Linked DNA regions of Drosophila melanogaster. The gene in region 1 interacts genetically with each later gene. Each region holds a gene or a part of one and is shown in the gene's direction. Other genes may lie near its edges.

Region 1 (5,065 bases):
AAGTGTGGGTCCAGAGTAGAAAGTCGCATTAAGGATGCCGGCGAAAAACATTCATAAGTCCTCATCGGGGAAACGACGTCATCGCGAAATTGTCGGACGAGCAAGCAGTCAGCAAAGAAACCCCAGAATAAATATTTATCATATACAGTGGGATTGTGTATATTTTGTATGTATTTTTTTAGTTAATAATGAGAAAATAATTATTAAGCACATTTAAAAAATCCATTCAGTTCTTATATATATTTTGCTATTTTTTACAGTATTAGGTGTAAGGTCATAATATTGGCCCTCAATTTTAAAGATCAATTGATGACTGTACTTTAAAGCGATAATGCAAGAAGAGGAAAGGCAGTGCAAAATAAGAATATTTAGAGGGAGGTGGAATAAGCACCTGCACTGTGCACTTCTCTTACGAAGTGGAAGCGTAAATTGATAAGCTGCAAGCTGGAAAAAGTTGCAACGCACCAAAACTGGTTGCAAGCCCTTCCACTTTGCTACACTTCACTCCACTCCACTCGACTCAGCTCACTTATTAGTGCCACCGATTGACATGCGCTGCCTTCTGTTTTGCTCATTCTTCGGAGTGGATCCTCTTCTGATTCTCCCGATTCTTCTGATCCTGCTGTCTTCGGAGCTGCTGTTGTCCTTAGTTTACGCAGCGAGATTTGAGTGAGACACCAGACTGCTGGAGATTCTAGCTGAGGAAATATTGTTTTCTTCAGCCTTCTGACTTGGCATTGAATAGTTGCACGCAATACAAATACAGTGCCAACAATTTCGTACATGGCTGACGTCACAATAAAAGAAAAATGCTTTTTCGAAATTGAAGGCATTCTACAGTGGTCATTCGATAACAATAATAATGTTTTATTAGAGTGGACGTAAGTAATCAAATTAGGAAACCACACAAATGAACTACAATGGGCTGCATGATTGAAAGGGCTCGAATATTGTGGCTTTCCAGCGCCACCAAGTATGCAACACGTTTTCAAAGGAAAAAGTTCATAACGTAACATTTCGCCAACTTTTAAAAATAAACATAAAATTATTTGGTAAATCACAGTAATCATATTAATTACAAAATGAATAGCTTGTATAGATTGTTATTAAAGTTAATTACAATTACTTATTAAAAACTTCTTTATGAGTGCCAACTGTACCTTTGACGAGTGCATCTCCATCGCCATCTGTGACATGCGGTCAAAGACGGACGCAGCATATGGGCCATGGGATAAAGGGGCCTCGTACACTGTCCAATCGGGTTCTTGGGCACGGACATTTTGCCCGTCTAGGTGTAGGAATATGATTTCTGGTTTTGTGCAGGGCAGCGGTGTGCATTTCGTTCTCCTTGTTCTTTTGCGGTTGTCAGGTGGCACATGTGAATAAATCATTCGCGATAAGCGCGAAGTGAGTGCTCATGTTTATGGCCTTAATGGTTTTGGTCACACCAAATAAAATTTGCATTTCAGTGGCAAAACGAGGTAAAATCCGGCTCAGATAAGTTTGAAATAGGAGAAGAGTATGGCGGATAGATGCCATTGAGCGATAACACTGATAGCTCTTAATTACCGCCTAATTAATTAAGAGATGAGCGATGTGCCCCGAATTTCTATTTCCAGTTGGTAGTGCGCTGGAAAGAGTCGGCGCTACTAGGCTGTCAGTGTAGTATGTGTGTGCGAACACGCCCCCTATAACGAAACTACAGGGTGCGAACGAGATAGCTGCAGCACTTCCAAGACCGACTTGGTTGGTCGCTCCCTTCCAGTCGCACGTATGGCGACGCTGGAACGGTTGGTAGTGGAACATCGTTCGCTCTGTCTCACTCCCACGCGACCGCGTCGCTTGGCGATCGCTCGTTGCCAGGACGACTGGAAGTGGCCCCAAACACGCCGCCCGCGTGTTCCATGGCCAGTGTGTTCCGCCAGGACTGGTTTTTCCATTCGTTTCGTGGCGCCGCTCAGTTCTTGTTGGAATCTCAAAGCGTTTACGTGGCCGCAGCGCAGCAGAGTCACGTTTGAAAGAGTGCGAGTGAGAGATAGCGACTTAGAGCACCGCGCCGAGTGCGAGTGAGAGAGCGCGCTCCATCGCCTTTGTGCCTCGTTTCAAATGCCCGTTTGTCCGTTTTTTTGGCACTGTTGTTCATTCATTCACTCGCTTCTGGCGCTCGCGTGCAGTTGCAGTCGCTGCTCCCTCCTAACGGTTGTTTCGCCGTCGCCAGAATCCCGCTAAAAGGTGCGTGCGTGTTTGTGTGTGCGTGAGTGTCCCCCGAATAAGGCAATACAACAACAATAGAGGCGAAAACAGAAACAAAAGCGAAACGCAGCACGCGATACCCTGTAACTGGAGGTTCTGTAAAGGCTTCGAGGAGTCACGTGTGCGAATTGCAGACCGCCGGCGGTCATTCACTTCTATCTATTTTACTATTCCAACACACCCACGCGCGCGTGTGTGTGTGCGTGCCTGAAAAATGTCACTTTGACAACTCGCCTCTGGTTGCTCTGCCGGCGGATCTGCCTACGTCGACGTCGATCGTGCCGCAAAATGAAAATGATTTGCGTGCCGTTCTTGCGTTAGCGCTTTTGGTTCCGTGCCGATTTTGATTTCCTCTGTTGCATGCGTCGTCATCGCAAACATCGCCCATTGATAAACCAGAGCCCACGAGCAACAACACTACCAACACAAACGGCAAAAGTGCAAGTGAAAAAGCAAAAGTGTTGCCACGAAAGAACCAAAACAATAACCTGCAAATCGCAGCCACTCGAATCAAAACAAAACAACACAAACAACAACTCGTTTTTGAAAGCAATTGAAAAAGGATTGAGGGATTTTTACAGTTTTCTGACTAGAATGTGCCATTCAAATTAATCAACACTATTGGTTGACTCTGATGTTTAATAACTTGCTAACATAATCTGTTATACTTTTTTAGTCCTTTGTGAGAAAAAATTGAAACAAATTTAAATATATTCTTTTTATGAATAATATATTTTCAAAATTTACCAAAATATAATTTTCAAAATAAAGTAAAGCCTTAATATCATATTATACTATTCTACAATGCAAGGCAAAATCAAATCGTATTAGACAACGGCTCCATGACATTGCCAACTTAAACTAATTGGATTTATTTTAGATAAACTGAAATCATTCTCCGTCGGGACTAATTACTTAAAAAATCTATTAGGTTGAACCGAAGTTATCGCCTTAGAAAATCATACAACCCACAATCGAATGAAAAAAAAAATCAAAATTCCCAGCCTTTCTCAATTGCTGAATCACAGTTTCGCATTAAATCCCTCATTTAGCTCTAACCAACTGAAACTACAGTGCAATATACACAAAAAAATAAAAAACAAAAACAAAAGGAGCGCGAGAAATGAAAAAGCAAACAAAATGTAAGCGTGATGATAATTAAAAATAAATACAAAGAAGAAAAAAACGAAATTTACGCGTGGCTACAACTCCGAAACCGAAAACCGCAGCAGGATCTCAGCGGATCTGATCGCACTCAGCTCCTGGCTGTGTCTGTGTGCGAGTCCGTGTGTGTGAGAGTGTGTACCCAGAGCAAGCCAAATCAATAAATAAAAACCAATTACAAAAGGAAAAAAAGCGAAATAAGAAAGCCACGACGAGGAAACAACCTGTACGACAGACGAGCAGAAGGCAGCAGAAGACAACAACGAAATATTGATACGAAAAATAATAAGAGTTAAAATCATTCACGACGGCGACCATAACGAACTCCGCCCTAGCAATGAGCCAGCTGGGCACCGTCTACGCCACCAAGCGAAGGCGACGCAACGGCAAGAGGTGAGTCCAAGCCCCAGTCCAATCCCACAAACCAATACCGATCCGAATCCCAAGATACAGATACGGATACGGATACAGATTCAGATATAAATGCACAGCGGGAGGCGGAATGTTTGTGGAGCGGGTTCTTGGGTGCTCTGTTATTACTGAAAGATTTCAATCAATGCGATTGGCTGCACTTACCACTTACCAGCTTGCCACCTTGTGGCGCCACCCGCTGACGATCCATCAATCTCCGTAGCTACTGGTCTTGAATACCCCAGATTCGATTATTAATGATCCGGTGGCCACTTTGTTGACAAATTGCCATCGCCATTGACTTTTGACTTGGCCCTCGGATGAAATGAAGGGCGGTGAATTCCCCCTTTGCCGCCCGATAGCCTCAAATTGATTTGCATTATGCATGTCGGGGCAGGTTACCGTGAAATTACAGTAGCCAAACAGTTGATGGAGATGATGATGAACGGTCATGCTGATGATGATGACGATGACGGCGGCCCCTCCGGCTGTTCGCTGGGGGAGATCGGAATCTGCCTGTCCCAAGGTGCACATAATTTCTGATAATTTTGTGTACTTAGCTGCTGCAACCGCACAAAGCATAATGTTTTCAATATAAATATATGAGAACTCACGCATTATCATGAGCAGCACTGCTAAATATGCAGAAGGCGAGGAGCGGCAACTGCAGCCCGGCCACGCCCCCTCGCCAAGTGCAGACCACCGATCGCTAATGTTGCGACCCCCATAATCAAGAGCCACTGATCAGCTTCAGCGCCTCAGTCTTGAAAGGGTGCAGAACGGGGCAGCTCAGGTCTGCGTAGATTATCTTCGGAAAAGCGAAGAACCAGGATCTATTTAGGATAAGCACGCAGTTGATAGATTGGTTATCCAACTCATCTAATATGGCGTGTAATGTTCGTCTACTTAGTTGTAGTCGGATTAGTAAACCAGTTATTAACAGTATAGCTCCATTTCAAAGATACTCTACGGGGAATATTTACTATTAACCGCTTAGCTTTAGTATTAAAATTTTACATTAGATGTTTTAAAAGATTTCGATATAGACCTTATAGATAATAATAACTTTATATGTTATTATGATATTATTTCTATTAAAACTTTACCAACTTAAACTGAAACATTTGTTTGTACAAGGCGTTGTGCACTTCAGAGTAAGTTCCTTGTGTGCAATTTAATTCCCCTTCTCCTTGAATTTCGTTTTTATTAAAGTTCCCGACTACGCCGTAAAACTTCA
Region 2 (4,729 bases), on another chromosome or scaffold:
CGGTATTCTCTACGCGTTTCAAACACTGACTATTCGGAATTGTAAACTATATAGTTAGTTTTCTTATTTATTTAGCTTTTTTGAACTACCATTTGCTGCGAGCACTACTTTTTTATTAACATAAAATTTGCACCAACGAATCAATCGCGCTCGCTCTCGCACTCTCCGTCACTCTATCTCCCTCTCGCACGCGCTCTCCGCAGCTTGCGCAGAAAGTTTTTTGGGCGATTTCTCCATGTGTGTATATGCTGCTCTGCTTGCTGTTGCTGCCTTTACATATTTCATATTTACATACGCCTATACATACTGCAGCACAGCTATAATTTTTCACCGATTTTCCCAACCGATATGTTTAATTGCCAACCGCAGCGGATTTCCAACTATATTTTCTTCTTATTGTTTTCGCTTTTCACTGGGCTTACGTATGTATGCATGTGCGTGAATTGGAGTACTTCTTTTTAGTAACAGTAAAAATGAGAGGGCGAGAAAGAGAGAGCACTGGATGAGCTCGTTTTTCATTATTTCGCATTTAAAATGTGTAACTCTGTCTTTTAATTCATTTATTTAACAACGCGCACACATACACAAAAACACACACACACACAAAGCAGGAGCAGACGCAACAAAATGTAGCATTTTTCTTTGTATTAATTTTGCACTGTTTTAAATGACATTTACTTTTGCTGCTTGTTCGCAAATTTTTTTGCGTATATTTGTGCTTTTTCCGATTGGGCGTTTTTTTACAATTAAGCAGATATATTCACAACAATTGACATTTCCAAAAACAAACGACGGCGACGGCGAAAAAATTAAGAGACAGTGTGACCGTGGAGCAATCCGATAAATATACTCTCTGTGCCAACTCTAAAACTCCACATAAAATACCAACGTATATAAATGCATATAACGAAAATATTAGCTTTTTGAATTTGCAACTCTGGGGTTTTAATTTATGGCGGATTTCTTGAAAACGGTAATATTGACAAAACTTTAAATGTTCGTATTGTTTTCTTTATTCAAAATTTTAATTTTTCAAATTTTTTTGTGTATCGACATTGTGGATCATTAATAGTTTTAAATTAACAGGAATTCTAGGAAAACCTACAATTTGGTAAGCTAGAGCTAAGAATCGATTCTTTTATTCATATTGGTTGGGCAACATCTTTCGGTGCAGCTAATCCACATGCAGGCATCTGTATTGCCTGGTAGCCTTGAATTTCTTTGATAATCTTATCCTCCTGGCTGTCCAAGGCGACAAAGACCAAGAAGAAATCGTAGTGCGTTTCGATGTCCCGCGCACTAACCACGACGCACCAATCCATCAGGGCCTCGGTTATCTTATCTGTAGCCTTGTCCGCACTGGAAACGTCCGGATTCCAGTGGGAATCCTCTTCATCCTCTGATGTTGGATATATGACATAGGTTCTGTAGCACTTGTGCCGCTCCATGTGTGAAGTGCATCCATGTTATTTGACCAAGCTCGATTCTGGAGAAGACATTCCAGACTTTGCCGCGACTGCGCTTCTTGTTGAATTGCCGGACTCCGGCGTTCAATTGGGCCTTGATATTGTCCTGGCTGTAGGAAAGCCATCGAAACTTTACCCATTTAAATAAAAAGATTCTACTGATTCAATATACAATAGTCAACTCAATTGAGTTTATCGATAGACTGTTTACTATGGGTAATCGGAATCGCTAGTCATATGAGAATTTTAGGTTTTAAACTAAAAGAAAATATTCAAAAAACATAAGAAACAAATAAAATTCAAAAAAAATTAAACTTACAATCAAGTTCTTTTTAAGAAAATCAGTGGCTGTTTACACCACCTTACACTTTTCGCACCGTGCTAGCGCTTGTTTACCAACACAGTTTTGTGCGTGACTGAATTTTCGTGAGTTTGTATTTGTGTACATTTTGTAATTTGGGTTTGTTTTCTTCTTGGCAAACCGAATTACCACCGCAAATCGAACAACCGATACACCACGATGCATGTTGAAAAGAAATCAGAGCTTCGTAGCCTACTAAAATCCGGGGACAAGCGTTGCAAACTCGTTGAGCCCAGGAACACCAAAAGCTGCGTCTGGAGGTTTTTCAATCTCGTCCAGTGCGACGACCACATAGAGCCGTACGCCTGCTGCAAAACCTGTGGCGATCTGTTATCCTACAGCGGCAAAACTGGAACCGGATCCCTGCTACGGCACCGATGTCTCCACTCCAGCAGCAGTAACGGTAAGTTCGGGATCCGAAATCTCACGCACGCCCTTCACAATCGAAATCCACTGCCACGCGTGCTCCGTGCCGTAGAAACCGAGCACGGATCAGTGCCCGATGCCATCGCGATAAATCCACGGGTCATCGGTACAGGCTCCTCCACTTTGGCGCGGAAAAAGTAGAAACTCTAGTTATAGCAAGGCAGTAAATCGTCTTGAAAAAAAAAACTATAGATAAAAATAGTGCAGGATAGGTACAGAATTTTCCCCAACCAGTGGTTGTGCTTGTAAATAGTTTATAAACCTATTGTATATTATCTAAAATGCTATTAAAAAATCAGCTAAAAAATATTGTTATGTTAAAAGTATTTTTATGATTTTGCGCTGTTGTAAAGTATGTAAACATTCTCTTATTTTCGTTTTTCACCTCTGTTTGCCGTTGCCTTTGTTTCCACTCTTATGTTCATGCGTTTTACAACACTGCAACGGCACTTGACAACACTGACTACAGCAACGCCAATATCGCAATAAATAAATTTGTGGAGAAAAATCACTTTTGACGTACTAATTACCTAGAGAAAAGTATTAAAAATGCCCAAGGGTCGTGTTAGCAATGTGTGGCAGCACTACGATATTAACGAGGAGTGCGAAAACTTTGCGATATGCCGTTATTGCGGCAACAATATATCGCGTGGTGGCATGGCCAGCAATTTGAAGGGCAACAATACGACCAATTTGTGGACGCATCTGCGGCACAAGCACAGGGACGAGGTGCTGGTCAGTCCGGTGCAGCAACGTCCCCAGGCCCGGATGATCCCAATCATCAAGAAAGGTAATTCCAGCGAAGTTCGTATGGCGGGCTATCGACCCTTGGGTCGGCGGGAAACTATCGCCGGCGCCCATCTCTGGGTTATGATATTTTTGTTATTATCCGGTAGCTGTACCAATATGTATCGTATTAACCATCGCTTCCATCCTTTGCATTGCAGACAAAACCGTGCGGATTACCAAGGCCAAGACGCTGAGGGAGCCGCTGCGTGTGGCCAAGCCGAAGATCGAGTCGAACGTCGCCAATTATCTGGGCGAGGCGGGCGCCCTGCCGCAAAAGTGGGAGGAGTACGAGCAGAACGATGAGATTAGCGAGGACATTAAGGACATCATATACAGCGAGGATCCACTGTGCTATAGTCCTATACACGTGATGGATGATGAGGGCCTGGATCAGCCTGAGAAGCAAGTGACCGTGCTAACCCATTCGACTTCACCAGCCGGTGGAAGTAGCAGGCCCATCGGTGTTGGTTCGGGCGTACAGGCTACTGTGGTGGCCTCCACGTCCTCCAGCAGCAGCTCGGCCAAGCAGCTGAAGAACAACCTGGAGACGTCCATCGAACGGCTGACCGCTGTCAGCGAACAGCTCAGCTACATCATACAACAGAATCACGAGGAGCTCACCAAGGACGACGACTACTATTTTGCACTTAGCTTGGTGCCCGCAATGCGCCACCTTTCGCTCAGTCGGAAGATGTACGTGCGGTCCAAGATCCAGGATATACTGTTCAAGGAAAGTGAGGACTCAACGCTTGCCAAGGATGAGTAGGCGGTCCATTATATACATTTACCCAGAGGAATAATAAAACGAGGAACGAAGGAAACCATATGGTAAATGGGCAAATCAGCGTGTCGTAATCTAGGTTAATAATTATACATATGTTATGTATTCATTTAAATTATGCTCTTTTATCGATTGAAAATACTTACTTTGATTGTATATTTCCCAATTATATTTTACTTAAAACTCAAATAAAGCACTACAATAAATTAAGGAAAAGGCGATTTCATGGTGTATTACGTTTATTTTAAATAAATTTTATTTAAATAACTTGTTAAGATTTACAAAACAGAGAGCGTTGCTAGATTGTTATTATAAATTATTGTATTGTAATTTACAAATCGATTTTGCGGCTAAGTTCTGCTGTTTATGCGTTTCTTATAGAGATATGCTTGTATTGGCCGCTCCCCAATTGCGTAGCCAGCCATTTCGTTTTTCTCTTCAATATTTTGTAGATCTAGGAGTGCAAGCGTACATTATCATACAATACGAATACAAATTACAGTAAAACTCCTACAAATCGAGCAATAAACAATAAACTTAAGCCTATATATATATATATATAGTATGCTAGGCTTAGATTCTAGTCAACAAATCGGTAGTTTATCAAACACTGACTTGAATAGCGAAATGTATGTATGTCTAATTTGATGATTTGGTTGTTGATATAGGTAAGTGGTTCGCTCAAAATGAATTTTGAATTGTGGATATGATGGGCATTATACAAATATGTTCGCTTAGGGTGGATATTAGGACTAAGTGCACGATATGTTTGCCAAAAGTTTGGTATAAATTTGTTGTAATATTACGCGTAGATATGCTGCAAATCTGGCTTTTTGTATATCTATGTAGGTATATAACATTTTGATTTCGGTTCTCTCGACTGGCAGAGTGTATTTCCAAGACTTT

What was found.
Region 2: of ss (region 1) and BEAF-32, changing one suppresses a phenotype caused by changing the other (phenotypic suppression), as found in Drosophila melanogaster (one study listed by BioGRID).

Annotation. Positions count from the first base shown.
Region 1 is NT_033777.3:16,400,585-16,405,649, reverse strand, and holds the start of ss (spineless), read left to right. Parts: upstream 1-1,959; 5' UTR 1,960-2,232; exon of another isoform or gene 2,233-2,254; intron 2,255-3,305; 5' UTR 3,306-3,754; coding exon 3,755-3,810; intron 3,811-5,065.
Region 2 is NT_033778.4:14,768,600-14,773,328, forward strand, and holds BEAF-32 (boundary element-associated factor of 32kD), read left to right. Parts: upstream 1-1,869; 5' UTR 1,870-1,986; coding exon 1,987-2,230; exon of another isoform or gene 2,231-2,802; coding exon of another isoform or gene 2,803-3,043; intron 3,044-3,200; coding exon 3,201-3,808; 3' UTR 3,809-4,031; downstream 4,032-4,729.